Linked DNA regions of Elephas maximus indicus. The protein of the gene in region 2 interacts with the protein of the main gene of each other region in a pairwise test. Links are inferred from orthologs where the notes say so. Each region holds a gene or a part of one and is shown on either strand. Other genes may lie near its edges.

Evidence for each region.
Region 1: the proteins of BMX (region 2) and PTPN21 interact in binary tests that used the Homo sapiens proteins (3 or more experiments, as listed by UniProt). The link is inferred for Elephas maximus indicus from reciprocal best matches to the Homo sapiens genes BMX and PTPN21.

What each region holds. Positions count from the first base shown.
Region 1 is NC_064828.1:102,174,038-102,181,193, forward strand, and holds the start of PTPN21 (tyrosine-protein phosphatase non-receptor type 21), read right to left. Parts: upstream 3,022-7,156; 5' UTR 2,927-3,021; coding exon 2,747-2,926; intron 1-2,746.
Region 2 is NC_064846.1:164,081,086-164,089,336, reverse strand, and holds the start of BMX (cytoplasmic tyrosine-protein kinase BMX), read left to right. Parts: upstream 1-5,119; 5' UTR 5,120-5,379; coding exon of another isoform or gene 5,380-5,382; exon of another isoform or gene 5,383-5,418; intron 5,419-8,251. UniProt on the Homo sapiens protein: Non-receptor tyrosine kinase that plays central but diverse modulatory roles in various signaling processes involved in the regulation of actin reorganization, cell migration, cell proliferation and survival, cell adhesion, and apoptosis.

The DNA.
Region 1 (7,156 bases), on a different chromosome or scaffold from region 2:
GAAACCTGAGTATCTACCTGGACCCTTTGCTAGCTCTTTCCATCAACGCTTACTAGCTAAGTTTTTGTTATCGGTTAAATTGTGTCCCCAAAAAGGATATGTTGAAGTCTTAGCCCCCCGTGCCTGTGAATGTGACCTTATTTAGAAACAGGGTCTCTACTGGAACAGTGGTTAAAGTGGTTGGCTGCTAATCGAAAGGTTAGCAGTTTGAAAACGACCGGTGGCTCTAAGGGAGAAAGATGTGGCAGTCTGCTTCTGTAGAGATTTACAGCCTTGGAAACCCTATGAGTCAGAACTGACTTGACGGCAGTGGTGGTGGATAAATGTAATTAGTTAACATGAAGCCATACTGGAGTAGGGTGGGCCATAATCCAATATAACTGGTATCCTTATAAGAAGAAAAGGGAGACACGGAGACACCAATGGAAGACGACCACGTGAGGATGGAAGCAGAGATCCGAGTCATGCCCCCACAAGCCAAGAAATGCCTGGGGCTATGAGTAGGGGGAAAAGGCAAGGAAGGATCTTTATCTCAAGGTTTGGAGGGAGCATGGCCCTGCCAACACCTCGATTTTGGGTTTCTGTCCTCCAAAACTGTGGGAAAATAAATTTCTGTCATTTTAGGCTACTCAGTTTGCAGTACTTCACTACAGCAGTCCTGGGAAACTGAGACTGTCCTGAATCTCTCCAGACTTTACCCACTTCTTCCTACCCCCATCCAAATCTAGGTGGTCACCACCTACACCAAAACCACCCCTTCCTAATCATTCTCCAGAGGGATGTTTCTTTGCAAAACAGTAACACACCATCACTTAAAAACCTTTTTCTGGTGTCCTCACTTGTTGTTGTTGTTAGGTGCCGTCGAGTCGGTTCCGACTCATAGCGACCCTATGCACAACAGAACGCAACACTTCCCGGTCCTGCGCCATCCTTAAAATCGTTGATATGCTTGAGCCCATTGTTGCAGCCACTGTGTCAATCCACCTCGTTGAGGGTCTTCCTCTTTTCCGCTGACCCTATACTTTGCCAAGCATGATGTCCTTCTCCAGGGACTGATCTCTCCTTCAGGGAAAGTCCAAATCCTTTAACAAAAGCCCCACCTTCTAAGTCCCAACCTCTCGGCTTTCCCACTCCTCACTTCAGCCTCCAGGCAGATCAGTTGCTTTTGCCTCAGAGCCACTACTCGTGCAGTTCCTTTGGTTGGAACAGTCTTTTCCAGCCCCCAGAAGACTCCCCTGCCCAATTCTTCAGGTCCCAGCTCAGACACCACGTGTTCTGAGAATCTTTCTCTTTGCTGACCCCCCCATAGCTCATAGCATCCTGTACTTGCTCTACGATAGCATGCATCATGCCTGTTTTCGTGTTGCTAGCAACACTAGGGTGAACTCCTAGTGTGTGCCTAGGGTGAACTTATAGGTCTTCAATGTTGAATAATCAAGATACAGGATAGTCACCAAGGACAAAGTTTATCTACTTCTGACTTTTTATGAAGTACATCAGCGGGATTTCCAGTTAGGAATATAATTTGGGCGTTCAAGTAGAATAACCAGTTTCTCCATTTTACTGCTACCCTAGAACTAGGGGGCTAAAGGCAAGGAGAATCCTAGGTTTAATTATAGCCTTTTTCTTCAAGGCCTTAACTGGAATCAGCCATGAATACTGTGGTCCTATAAACAGTCATCTAAATGAAACCAAACAGTAAACATTTACCCTAGACTAAGGATGAGAAGGTAAGGGGGGACAGGAAAGCTAGATTAATATAAACAGAACAACCAGAATGGAAATAATGAGAATGCTCACACACTGTGAAAGAAGTAACCAATACCACTGAACAATATAGAAATTGTTAAATGAGAACCTAATTTGCCATGTAAGCTTTCACCAAAAACACAGTAGTTTAAAAAAAAAAAAAAGACATTATCTCGATACACGAGGCCCCCACAACTCTCTTATTGACAAAATTTTGAGGTTTTCCAGGGCGAACCTATGACTACGGGAATAGACTAGTTACTAGAGCTTATGGCTATGCAGACACATTAAATGACACAACCAGTTTAAGGGTGTGACATCACCGTTGTCCCCAAGGCTCAGACGAGGGAATTGGGGCTCAAACAGGTCAAATAATTTGTCCAAAGTCATGCAACTAGTTGGTGAGGAAACCAGATTCAAAATCCAGGCAGTATGTCTCTAGAATCTTGGCCCTGCCTGTGGCAAAAAGTCAATGAATATTTGCTGAGTGAATGTAAGTCAGTGAACCGTACTAGAGCAGGATGACCCATTTGGGATTGTATTAGAAAAGAAAAAGTTGGATAATCCAACATGCATTCGTATCTGATTATGGATTACATTTGGGGGGGAACAAATCTGCATTTTCAAAAGCTCAAAGAAAGAAAAAACAGTTGTCTTCCAGCAGATTCTCAGTCATGGTAACCCCATGTGCTTCACAGTAGAACTAGGCTCCAGAGGGTTTTCAGTGGCTGTGGTTTTTTTGGAAGTAGGTTATCTGGCCTTTTTTCCAAAAACTCGGGCACTGCTATTTCACATCAGGGGCACCCTCAAGGCAAGACATCTCACTCTGTAGGTATTCCTTCCTCACGGGGAGGGGGCTTGTAGGCTCAACTCATATCATGACCAGGGACATGTTTTAGTATCCTGTGGGCTAGAACACACAGACAGCATGCATGAAAGTGGTGAGAAGTAAGGAACAAAGTCAGGCCAGAGACACTGGACCTCCTTTGCTGCTTACCTCCCGCAACTCCAGTCTTTGGGCCACAGCCTCCAGGCTCTCCTGGCCAGTGCTCTCCACCGACAGCGTGAATTCCACAAACTCGTTGTTGAGCAGCTGGATCCGGGCAACCAGGCAGCTCTTGCTGGAGACGGTGTAGCGCCGGGTGCGTTTCAGTTTCAATCCAAATGGCAGTGGCATCTTCTTCTCCCTTCAAGAGTCTAGGGACAAGGAGGGAAAAGCACCCCCGCCAATCCAGCGGAGGTGAGGCAGAGAGGAAGCAATCCTGTCCTGACGGGATGAGTCTGTCCGGTCTTGGGCTGCTCACCCAGCAGCCGCTGCTGCCATTAAAAAGCAATCGAGTCTCCAAAGGCCAGGTGAAGGGAGCATCCACTCCAGCGCTGAAGAAAAAGGGACGCTGGTTACATGGGCAATCTGGCAGCTCTGGGCTTGGCTTTTAAAAATACAAATCAACGAGACTGTGTCCTGAGAATAAGCTTTCCTTCTCCTCCGGAAAAAGAAGACACTGAATAGGATCTTGGAGGCAGTGGGCAAGCTTACCACCAGAGCTGAGAGCTGGATTGTCAGACTCCACCCCTCCTCATCCTACAAACGGTGATTACAACCATTGTAATGAGATAATCCCGGGCACCAAGGCAACGCCAAGTTTAGGAGCGCTCATTAGTGGTTCTCTTCCTTTTTTGGATAAAGTTTTGCTTTTTCATAGATAACACTTACTGGTCTTTCCCCCTCAACACTCCAAATATCAGGGTTCTTTATTTATTTATTTTGGTCCTTAAGGGAGATAACAAAAAAAAAAAAACAAACACCACCCATTACCGTTGAGTCGATTCCGACTCATAGGGACCCTATAGGACAGAGCAGAAGTGCCCCATAGGGTTTCCAAGGAGCGCCTGGGAGATAAGCTGCTGACCTTTGGGTTGGCAGCCGTAGCTCTTAACCAGTACACCACCAGGGCTGGTTCAAGTCCCAGGCCCAGCCCCGTTAGGCAGATTAATCCCGGGTCCAGATGGAAGGTGTAATTCCTCCCTCACATATGGCAGCTGAGAGGTTCAAGCGAGGTGAACCAAGCCAAAGTGCCTAACGAGCATTTGTAGAACCCTTTCTGGTTTACAATATTTCCTTCATCAAACTGATTTATTTGTAAAATCATAAGACCCTACAAATACTGGTTATGGGATTACCACCAGCACCGTGGCAGTTCTGAAAAGCGTGGCCCCGGCTCCTCTCCAGGGTGGGGTTGCCCAGAGAGGCGCTGAAGCTTCACCTAAGCGGGGCCGCGGCCCAGAGGACGACACAGACGAGGCCTTAAACGCCATCCTGGGGGAAGGAGCTGCGGACCGAGCTGAGCAACCCCTTGCAGTCGCGCTCGGGCTGGGGCTCCTCCCGCAGCCTCCCCCCGGAAGAGGAGGTGGCGTTGCCGGGCCAACGGACAGCCTCGGGAGGCCCGGAACCCTCCTAACGCGGCCGCGTTTCCGGACGGACACACCCGGTTGGACCGACCCCCTCTGCTCCCGGAGGGAACATATAAAGGGCCCCACGCGAGCCCTACTGGCGGTGGAGAGGTTGGTGGAGTCCAGATTCGGAGCCACAGAATCCCAAAACACGCGACTTGGACCATTTTTAACCACGTCTGCTGATGGTAACTCCTGTATTGAGGAGGCACACTGGGGGCGGGCGGCAGCTGGGGGCTTTTATGTCAACTGGACTTTTTCTTTTTTCTCCCTAAACGAGCGGACAAAATCCCATATAGTTCCAGAATCCGGTGACAGCTTCCGCCCTTCCTTGCTCAAGGCTGCCCCGAGGAACAGCTGTTTAGTTCAGGGATGGGCTGAGCCAGGATTCGATCCCGGGTCCCTCACCCCAAGTCCTGTACTCCGCGCTCTCCTGGCTGGGTCTCAGCCAGAGGTGATGGGCGTCAGGGCTGGAGAGCAGGGTTTAGCTATTACGCTATACTTTGCCAAACTTCACATTTTGAAATTCCATTCCAGAAATGTATATCGTGGGATTTGTGAGAATTCAAAGACGACTCCTAAATCGTTGCTGCCCTTACAGAGTTTACAAGGATGCCGTTATTACCCAGCTGTGTCTCTAATAAAGACCCCCACCGAGGTTTTCTCTTTGCTTTTGTGTGTTCTGTTGTATGTGTGTGTTTTGTTTTGGTTGTTGGTGGTTTGTCTTTGGTTTTGTTTCCTGGTTATCTCCAAAGAGCCAGAAAAAGAAAATAAAAGTTAAAAACAAGGGATAGAGGAGGAAGGCCACCGGAAAAATGGAACCATAAAAGGACTGTGTTAATTTAACAGCATTTGCTGAGTGCTTTCTGTAGGTAAAAGCACTATTCTAAGGAGGGAAATAGAAAATAACTATTATGAAAAGATACAGCCTCCACCTTCGTTAGTTTTCAACATGCTTTGTTGTTTCAGGGACACAAACTAAATAGGTGAAGCAAAATGAAAGAAAAAAACAAATCAAATAACAACCTTAAATAATAAGCTTTTAACTAGAAAAGTGCCTGATAAGCCAGCAGTATTTGCTTAAGCTTAAAAAGATTATATGTACTTAACATATCATAGACGCTAAATATCCTTTCATGAGATGAGGTTGTAATCTCAATTTTTATTTACAAATTATGGTAACTGGAAACAGGGCAGATTGAGTAATAGAGATGAAAAAGTAAGATATATCTATAGAGGAAAGATAAATATTTGTATGAAGGGATGTTCAAACACGGTAGTCTCTTCACTGTGAAGACAGAACCAAGCCTTGAAGGCAGTAAATGCTACACTATGTACCTTATGAACTTGAGCTCTTATTAAGCAAACTCAGGAGTAAAACTTTCAATTGTCCCTGAGATTTGAAATGTTTTACAGTATCAGGTTTAAGAAAAAGCTAATGTTTACTGAATTTTTTTTTCTTTTGGTAGATGTTATGTCATTGGAAAACTTAGGGTATGTGTTTATCAGTTTCATTTTTCCCCCATGATGTATTCAAGAGAATGGCATGATTTTTGCTTCTATGAGTCGGAATCGACTCGACGGCACTGGGTTCTGTATAAAACCCACTGTGTTAAAATCATCTTTCCCCTCATACAATATTTACAACATTATCAATGATTTACTGATCTTACTTTTCAGTTATATACAGTATTTGCTACCAAATGATGTCACAAAGTTTTGAATGTTTGAAGATAATGAAATTGAGAAGTAGAAATTAAAGTGCTTTTTTGGTCTATTTCAAGTGTAAAATAACGTGCAATAATTACAAGGCATTTGGGTGTGGAATTATAAGTTATATAACTACTAAACTACACAGATAATTCATAAATATTAACTTTTGAAGGAAAATACTAGGAGATACTGTTTTTTTATGTAGAAAGAAAACAGATATATATTAAGTTCTGCTTTAGTACAAGCTTTCAAAAGGTAGTCTGAGCTATTTTGTGAGTTCATTTTAATTTTTGCCCTCCACGTCCTGTTCCAAAAGCTTCTCAAATACACTTTAATCCTGAATCCTGTAGACTTTTTCCTCTTGTTGCTAAGGTCCTCATCACACGTCATTTTGCCAATATTGCTTTAAAATAAAATAATAAAGGAAGAGAGTATGTGGCATTTCTAGAGTAAGATCTAAATCTGTAGCATTAAACCAAATCTATGTTTCTCCTGGGAAAAAACATAATTGTGCGAAGATAAGAATAAAATACCCTAAAAACAAAACAGATCATTCTTTTCAGAGTAAAACTACTGACACGTCCTAAGCTTAAGAAATAAAATTCTGTCAGCAACTATTAAGCGTACCGCGGTTGTCACCTGGAGCACACGAGTTTCTGTTTTTGTTTTTAAAGCATTTGCGAGCAGACGCTATTACGATAAGGCTTTCTCAGGAAAGAGGAAAATAGGACGAGCTTGCCAAGAGCGGCCAGTCTAATCAGGATTTGCAGAAATCACAAGTCGGAATTTGCAGACCCGAGAATTCTTTTTCCAGAGTAAACACTCTTTACTCGAAAACAAAAGTCGTCACCCACACAGTCCTTCCCTGCGCCCCCTCTCGCCCAAGTTACCCGGCAAACTTCACGTTTACATATTCCGAGAGACGCAAATACGCCTAAAACAGTCGGAACCCTGGTCCAGGAGCAAGCTGCAACAATCATTTGAGGGGCTCAGGACAGAAGTGCAAGCCCCCCTCTGTAAGCTACCCAAGTCTATCAGGCGGAGCCTGGGCAGGGCAGACTTCTCTCTTTGTTGCGCGCCTGCCATCGGGTAACCGCGACCCATCCTCCTGGACGCAAGGCTGTGACGCGCTCCGGGGTCCCCGCGCGCGGACGCACCCCAGCGCCCGGCACGCGCGCCTCCCGGCCGGGGCCCCGCGCCTCACCTGCTCCGGCTCCCGCATCCTCGGGGCCGCGCGCTCCTC
Region 2 (8,251 bases):
CACCAAAAACATTAACGGCAATAATAGTAACAACAATAAGGTGGATTGGTGGTGGATGGAGAGATGAATAAATGGATTAAAAAAAATAAAAAAAACCCATTGCCTTTGAGTCAATTCCAACTCATAGCAACCCCATAAGACAGAGTAGAACTGCCCCATAGAGTTCCCAAGGAGGGCCTGGTAGATTTGAACTGCCAACCTTTTGGTTAGCAGCCTAGCTCTTAGCCACTACGCCATCAGGGTTTCTGTATAAATGGATAGGTATATGATAAAGCAAATATAGGAAATTGTTCATTGTAGGATCTAGGTGGGGATATGGCTGCTCACTGGATGATTCTTTTAACTTTTCTGTATTTTGAATTTTTCATGCTAAAATCTTAGGAAAAAATAAGTTGAGTCAAAGCAGGAATCAGGGCTGGAGGAGTTCCAGAAAGATGTCCCTTTGTGCCTCTTTCCTTGATTCCAACTCTGATGCGTTGTACACAGTACAGTTCAATGAATGTCTGTTGAATTGAGCAGTTGAACGTAATTCCAGGCTACTAGGGCACTTCCAGTGCTGGCAGGATTCTTCTAGATCAGGGGCCAGCAATTTTTTTTTCTGTGAAGGCCAGAGAGTAACTATTTTAGGCTTTGTGGGCCATTCAGTCTCTGTGGAAACTGCTCAACTCTGCCTTTGTAGCTCAAAAGCAATCAGAGACAATATGTAAACGAATGAGTATGGCTGTGTCCTAATAAAATTTTTATTTACAAAAACAGGAGGTTGGCATAGTTTGCCAACTCCATCGAGACCCCAAATCCTTATCTCCCACCACAAAATGGGAGTTGAGTTGATAAAATACCAACAGTATGGGTAAAGATTTTATAGGTGTCAGGAATGGTCATCATAACAAAACAAGAACAAACCTTTCCTCGTCCACCTCCACCTGCCAATCAACAATTTCCTTTCATAAAGAGCAATGCCATTCGTTCCACTACTGAACCTGAAGCTTGATGCCCAAGCATCCTTAGGAGAGACGGTAGGCTCTTTAGCTCTAGTAAGTGTGAACAATTCCCATCAGATCCCAGCCTCCAAGTGGATGATTTTAGAACTGGAAGGAATAAGTATGAGAGGTGACAGGGTGACCCACCAATGAAGAGACAGCCGTGGAGAGAGCTTAGGCTGCAGAGGAGTTGTTGGCACCCTGTGGGGCTTGTTCTCTAGGGATGGACAGACAAGAACAATAATCAATAAGGAAATTATGTATCAGGATATAAGGTGATAAGTCCTGTGGAAAAAAAGAACAAGTAGAGCAGAGGAAGGGAGACTGGGAGTTCTGGGTGGGGTGAGGTTATAGTGTTTGACAGGGTGGTCATGGCAGGGCTCATTAAGAAGATACCCTTTGAGCTGAGCCTGCAGATGAAGAAATGAACCAGGCAGATATCTGGAAGATTCAGCAATGGAAACCTCCAGTGCAAAGGTCTTGGGGCACAGTATGCTCAGGATATTGTAGGCATAGCCATGAAGCCGGTTTTGGGAGTGGTGAGTAGTAGAAAAATCATAAGCTGATGTTAAAGACAGTAAGAGGGTACCATCGGGGAGTTCAGAGGAGAGGAGTGACAAGATTTGACTTAACATTTAAAAGAATCACTTTGGCCACTTACTGGAGAATAGACTGCACGGGGCAAGAGTGGGTTCAGGGAGAGTGGCCAGGAGGCGGGGGTAATATTCCAGGTGAGGGATAAGGGCCACTTGGACCATCAAGGTAGTGGTAGAGGTGGTGAGGAGTGGCCAAACTTGGGATGTATTTTGATGGTAGAGCCAAGCATATTTTCTGAACAACTGGATGTTGGATGTGAGACCAGACCAGACCTGTTGCTGTCAAGTCAATCCCAACTCCTAGCAACCCTATAAGACAGAGTAGAACTGCCCAATAGAGTTTCCAAGGAGCAGCTGGTGGATTCGAACTGCTGACCTTTTGGCTAGCAGCCGTAGCTCTTAGTCACTACACCACCAGGGTTTCCTTGGATGTGAGGGAAAGGTAAAAAATCAAGGGCGATTCCACATTCTTTGACTTGAGCAACTGAAAGGATGAAGTTGCTATTAGCTGAGAAGGGGAAGACTAGAAAGAGCTAGTTTAAGGGGTTAATCAGGAGGTCAGCTTTGAATATGTTAAGTTCTACATGTGTAGTATATAATCCAAATAAATATGGACAAGTTGACCATCGGACACAAGTCTGGAATTCTGGAGAGAGGTCCTGGCTGAAATTTGGAATCAAAAGCAAAACATGGTGTTTTTTGCAGCATCCACTCTCACTTCTGCAAGGAGGGGACAGAGAACTGCAGTGGTAACTGAGGGCCCCGGAAGGTCCCCTCTTTTTTTTTCTCATTAGGGACAGATTAATTCAGGGCCTCACAAGTATGAAGCATGTACAAACTTTTTATAAACTCTATAGCCTACACAGAAACCCTGGTGGCGTAGTGCTAGGGCTGCTAACCAAAATTCGAATCCAGCAGCCACTGCTTGGAAACCCTACGGGGCAGTTCTACTCTGTCCTATAGGGTCACTGTGAGTCAGAATCAACTGAACGGCAGTGGGTTTGGGTTTTTCTACAGACTACACACACGCGTACGATTATGTCAAAAAAAAGTACCTTATCAAGCAAGGTCCAACATCCCCAGACTTTTTTAAAAGTGAGAGAAAAATACAGGTCAGTCACAAAGCTAGTCTCTCTCTCTCTTACACACACACACACACACACACACAAAATGGATCCTCCCAGTTTCTTTCTCATTCTGAAAATCTAAGCACTACTTCTCCCAAGTGAACAAACTGGTTCATGTCATGAAGTCACATTATCGCTTGCTGTGTCCCTACCGAAGCTTGTAGGCTGTTAACGGCTTGCATGAACAAGCTTCAGAGAAATTTCCTAAGGATCTCACTGGGTGGAGGTGACAAAGCTGACTCTACTTCGTGCAAATTAGATCACGTCATTGGAAAAGCAGGTTGCCACAACAAATTTAGGGTTTAACTAAAGACATGGAAAACATAGAGCCAGAGAAGGGTTCAGGAGATGTAGCGGAGGAAGTGAATGAATAGAAAAATAAATAAATCGGTGCCGGTTTTGACTGAGAGGAAACCACTCCTCCTAACTGCCCTTGAGTGTGTTAAGCCCTGAGAAGGGACTGGAATCCCAAGAGAGTGTGCCCAGGTATTTCCAGGGTTATGCCACCTCCTCCCTTTCCCCCCTAAATTTACTTTTTCTTCTAGAATTTTCTTTTGCCATGCAACCATATATGAGCAGAAGAGTAAATACAAATTGTCTTGTGGCAAAGCAAGTTAGCAGAGTATCAAATTAACTTACTGGGCCAGGTGGTTGGGCCACTGTTACTCTGCCTCAGCTCAATTTCTTTCTTTCTTTCTTTTTTTTTTTTGGTGAAAATATACAGAGCAGAAAAAAAACAGCAGAGCATGCATCAATTCAACAATTTCTATGTGTACCTTTCAGCCACGTTGGTTGCGTTCTTCAGGTTGTGCCACCTTTTTTGATACGCTTTTTCCAAGTTGCTTAATCGTCATCAACACCACCTCACTGCCCTCTAAGCTTCTCATCTAACCTTTCCCGTCCTCAATTTCTTGAATGGCGGCCTTCTTTCTTCCTAGTGGTTGGATGGCGAGCTATGTGGAATCCGTCAATGACTTTTATTTGCTACGAGGGTGCAATTTATGCTCTTCCAAATTCTTCTCTAGAACTCCTTGCCCTTCCCCACATTTCAGTTTTCGGGCGGAAAGATGAAAAATCTCTTCGAGTAGTCATTCACACACTCCATCTTTACTTATCTGTGTTCCCCCACTAGACAAGTCCCTAGAGGGAGCAGGCTCTCTTTGTTCTGTTGACTTTTATGTCTCTGGTCCCTAACAGAATGCCCAGGACATGGTAGATGCTCAATAAGAGCTGATTGGCTGGATGAATACATAGAAAGGATGCTAACCCTGTGCCCACTCAAAAGACAGGACCTCATTGAAAGTCAGAACTTCGCTCTCTTCTGTCAACCCAACACTTTACCACACCATCAGCCAACCAGTTGTCATTGAGTAGAGTCATGGTGACCTCATGTGCAGAGTAGAACTGCTGCATAGGGTTTTCAAGGCTGTGACCTTTCAGAAGCAGATTGCCAGGCCTTTCTTCTGAGGTGCCTTTGAATGGGTTTGAACGCCCGACCTTTCTGTTAGTAACCTAGTGCTTAACTGTTTGTGCCACCCAGGGACTCCTACCACACTCTGTTGTTAGGTGCCATCAAGTTGATTTTGACTCATAGTAAGTCCCTGGGTGGCACAAATATTTAAGTGTTTACTAACTGAAAGTTTGGCGGTTCAAATCCACTCAAGGCACCTCAGAAGAAAGGCCTGGAAATCTGCTTCTGAAGGTTACAGCCCTGAAACCCCTATGGAGTGCAGTTTATCTCTGCACAGTTCAGAAGGTCACCAAGAGTTCCAATCAACAATGACAGCAACTAGCTAACAACAACAAGCACACTATAGATATTTACAAAGAAGTTAAAGTATCCAACAATTTATAAATTAGCACAGTGTGTCAACACATGCTAAAAGGATGGTTCATTTTCTTGTCTCTCCCTAGCCGAGCCTAAAATCTGTCACTAGATTCAGTGTATGTGACCAGCCTGTGTGCACCAGAGAAAAAGATGGACTGAGTGAACCCAAAAGTTATGTTGTCAGAATGAAGTCAAGTGACAATCACCTTTCTTCGTTGCAATCTTGGAGCACCCAACATTGGCAAAACTAATTTCTTTTCCATTTCTAGATTTCTTAATCATTTCAGCTGGGGAATGTGCTCCTTTACGGTTTTGTTAATGGTTCTTCTCTCTCTCGTACGGTCTCAGGCCTCTCTTTGTCCAAGTGTTGAGCTGAAGTTTTTATTGCTTATTCTCTGTGCAGTTTGGCATTACCCAATGGTTTCCTGAAAGAAGTCAGCGTCAGAAGTGGGGCTGTGCAGAGATATTTTCTTGTCCTTTCCGGAAGAAACCTCTAGAAACAAAGGCAGGGTTATCACATGGACCCTAGGGCTGCCTGGGAAAAGCAGGAGGTGCAGATATCAAAGTTGGAACCTTTCTGAAATATGCTTTTGTCTCTGTTTTGACTGCGTTCAATCAGATCAACAAGTGTTGGCTAAGTGTTGAGCGTGGTTTCCTGTGGGATTGTGTAAGGCTCTGCAGGACAATAAACGTTTGGGGGGCACTGAGTAATGTAGCCATTTCTGACCCAGCAGCCGGGAACATGTGAGACAATTTGCTGCTGCTGGAAGGAGGACAACTGGGGCTGGGTTCCTGCAAAGAGAAGATTAACTTTGGCGCTGTGGACCTGGGCAACAGAAAAGGCCGAAATGGTGCGTATCAGCAGCCCGGGCTCCACAGGAAAATAGGTTTGGATCCAGCTGTTACGGGGTCTGGAGTTTTCAAATTTGGGGGAGCCCACTTACAAAACAATAATCCAAAATTATGAATACAAACTCGCTAGGGCTTTGAAAGGGATTGTGTAATTTGGGGCCCAGACGTTCAGACTGCTATCTTTTTGCTGTAAATCTACCCCTGGCTCAAAATTTCATTCAGGGAAAAGAGCAGGTTGTGTGTGTGCTTCCTCTTTTGAGTCCCCCATTATTCTTTAGGCATTGCTTTTCTCTGGCTTTTAATGATTTTTTTTTTCATACCAGCTTCAAAAAACACAAAGAAATGTTATCCATGCCTTCTTTCCTTTCTGTGTACTGTATGGTGTTATTTTAGCACCAGATATTTGATCTTAGGTCCCTGAACCCTTTGCTGTCGAGTTGAATCCCACTCATGGCAATCTCATGTGTTGCAGGGCAGAACTGCTCCATACGGTTTTCTTGGCTGTAATCTTTATGGACGTAGATCTCCAGGCCTTCCTTCGTTGGCACTGCTGGATGGGTTCAAACTTCCAACCTTTCTGTTACTAGCTGAGCACAAACCCCGCACACCACCCAGGTCCCTGAAGGCTCCTTAAATCAAGGGCCCAGGGGATATTTTAGATGGGGATGGAAAGAAGGGAGGGGGGTTAACCACAGCCCTGTACTCACACCTATATAATTTTAAAAGTTCTTGTGCACCGTGATTTGATTTTAAAAAGTAGTACAGTTATAATGTGGTCTCAGTCAGTGCTTCTCAAACTCCAGCGTGCACCTGGGATCTCAGTGAAATGCAGATGCTGTTCCCGTGGGTTCGGGTTGGGGCCTGAGATTCTGCATCTTAACAAGCTCCCAGGTGTTACTGATGCTGCCAGTCCATGGACCCCACTTTGATAACATCCAGGTATTTATTCATAAATCTGGTGGTACAAATACTCAGTCAGTGCGGGGCTGGCTTCAAACCAATTTTAAGGCAAGTGGTCCCCAGATGGAGAGACGGTGCGTCTCGACTTGAGGCTGCCTGGGGAGCTCTTGCTGCCCCCCATGACCCCCAGGAGCTGGGGGAAGGGAGATGACGACTGAAGTGTTATCACTGAGGATCATTTCATTGTCTCCTGTTTTTTAACTTTGCCTATGGAATGATGAGGGGAACGGGTATATGTTTCTAGAATATCTATTAGATGCTGTATCTTCATTTTCTCTTGACTCCTCATAAGCCCTTGAGCTGGTCACTGTTTCACTCTCTTTACAGACGGGGAAGCTGAGGTTAAGCCGTGTAAAGAAACCTGCCAAGTTGCATTAAGACAGAGCAGGGATTGGAACCCACCAAAGCTAGGTGCTTTTGTTCGCACCACTGCCTAAGCAGGGTTCTGTGTTCAACTCATTCAGCCTAATGGAAATTTATCACTTTTTGCTTCCTTCCTAAGAAAGGTGCCCAGAGAGTATGCCCTGGGCAGAGGGGAGTGGGCAGAAGGAAAAGAAGAAAGGGCTTAGAAAAGCTTCAAGAGGCTCTGAAGGTGAATTTCACGCCCAAAGCCAATTTCAGCTCCAACAGGAAGAGCGGTGGAATTTTTGCCTTCTCTGTGAAAAGATAGCCTTGCCAAAGTGTCTGGTTTTCATAACTTCATTTTAGTGCAATTAAGATTAAAAAAAAATTAAGATGGGCGTTCCAAAATGCTGGGAATTTGAGTGTCAATGTTCAAAGGATTTCTGTCCATATCAGGTCAAGATCAATGGTAAGTAACTTTTGCGTGACAAGCATAACCACGTAAAACAGGGACTCGTTGCATTCTGGGGATCCCAGGTTTGTCTTTGGCCAACATCTTAAGATATGTTTTTGAACCACTTTGCCTGGTTCTGAATGAAGCCTTTTGTTCCTGTGTAAACTTATCACCGTGTTCTGTGCAGTTATTTAGCAGGATGATAAGTAGGCCTGTTGTCCTCGTTACAAGAATAGTACAATGAACATCCATATACCCTTTACCTGTTATAGTTCTTGTGCACCATCGGGTCGATTCTGATATGTAGCCACCCCGGGTGACAGAGTAGAATTGCCCCCATGGAGTTTTCTAGGCTGTAATTTTTATGAGAGCAGCTTGCCAGGTCTTTCTCCCTCGGAGCCAACCATGAACCTCTACTCTTTCAGTTAGCAACCAAGCACTTAAACATTGTGCCGCCAGTGCTCCTTGCTCTGGGCAAATATTTGAAGGTCAAGTTTGCTGCAGGTCCTCCATTTTCTCTTCCAGAACCTCCGTCCCCAGTTAGAGAATCTTCCCTCTCCTTACTGCTCTCCCCCTCCGCTGCCCTCCCACCACAGGTGTTATGTTATTATCTTCCCCCCTAGCAAAATCTTTAACTAATGACGTGTAAAGTAAGAGAGGGCAACTAATCAAGACAAAAGGGAAAGGAATTGCTACCCTCATCTCTCAGTTTTAAAGGATAAAGCGTAAGGGCACCATCCTCGACACAGCTGGGAATACACAGATCAGTAGAGGGAATTGTCCAGTGGCCCCATTTAAATATACAGCCTTTCTTCCCTTCCTTTCCTGCCTCCTGCACCCCTTCTGCACTGCGGAGAATTCATCCCAAATTTTGAGTTTGTGTGTTCTTGCCTCTTTTCAAAATATGGGCTGGAGCTTTGCTATTTAATGCTAGCTTGGGGAATTCTGCTGATAGATTGTTTATAGGTCACATCTTTCTGATATTTCCAATGAAAAGTTCCTTCGACGAGCCCTGGTGGAGCAGTGAGTGGTTAAAGTGCTGAGCTGCTAACCAAAAGGTCAGCATTTCGAACCCACCAGCCATTCTGTGAGAGAAAGATGTGGCAGTCTGC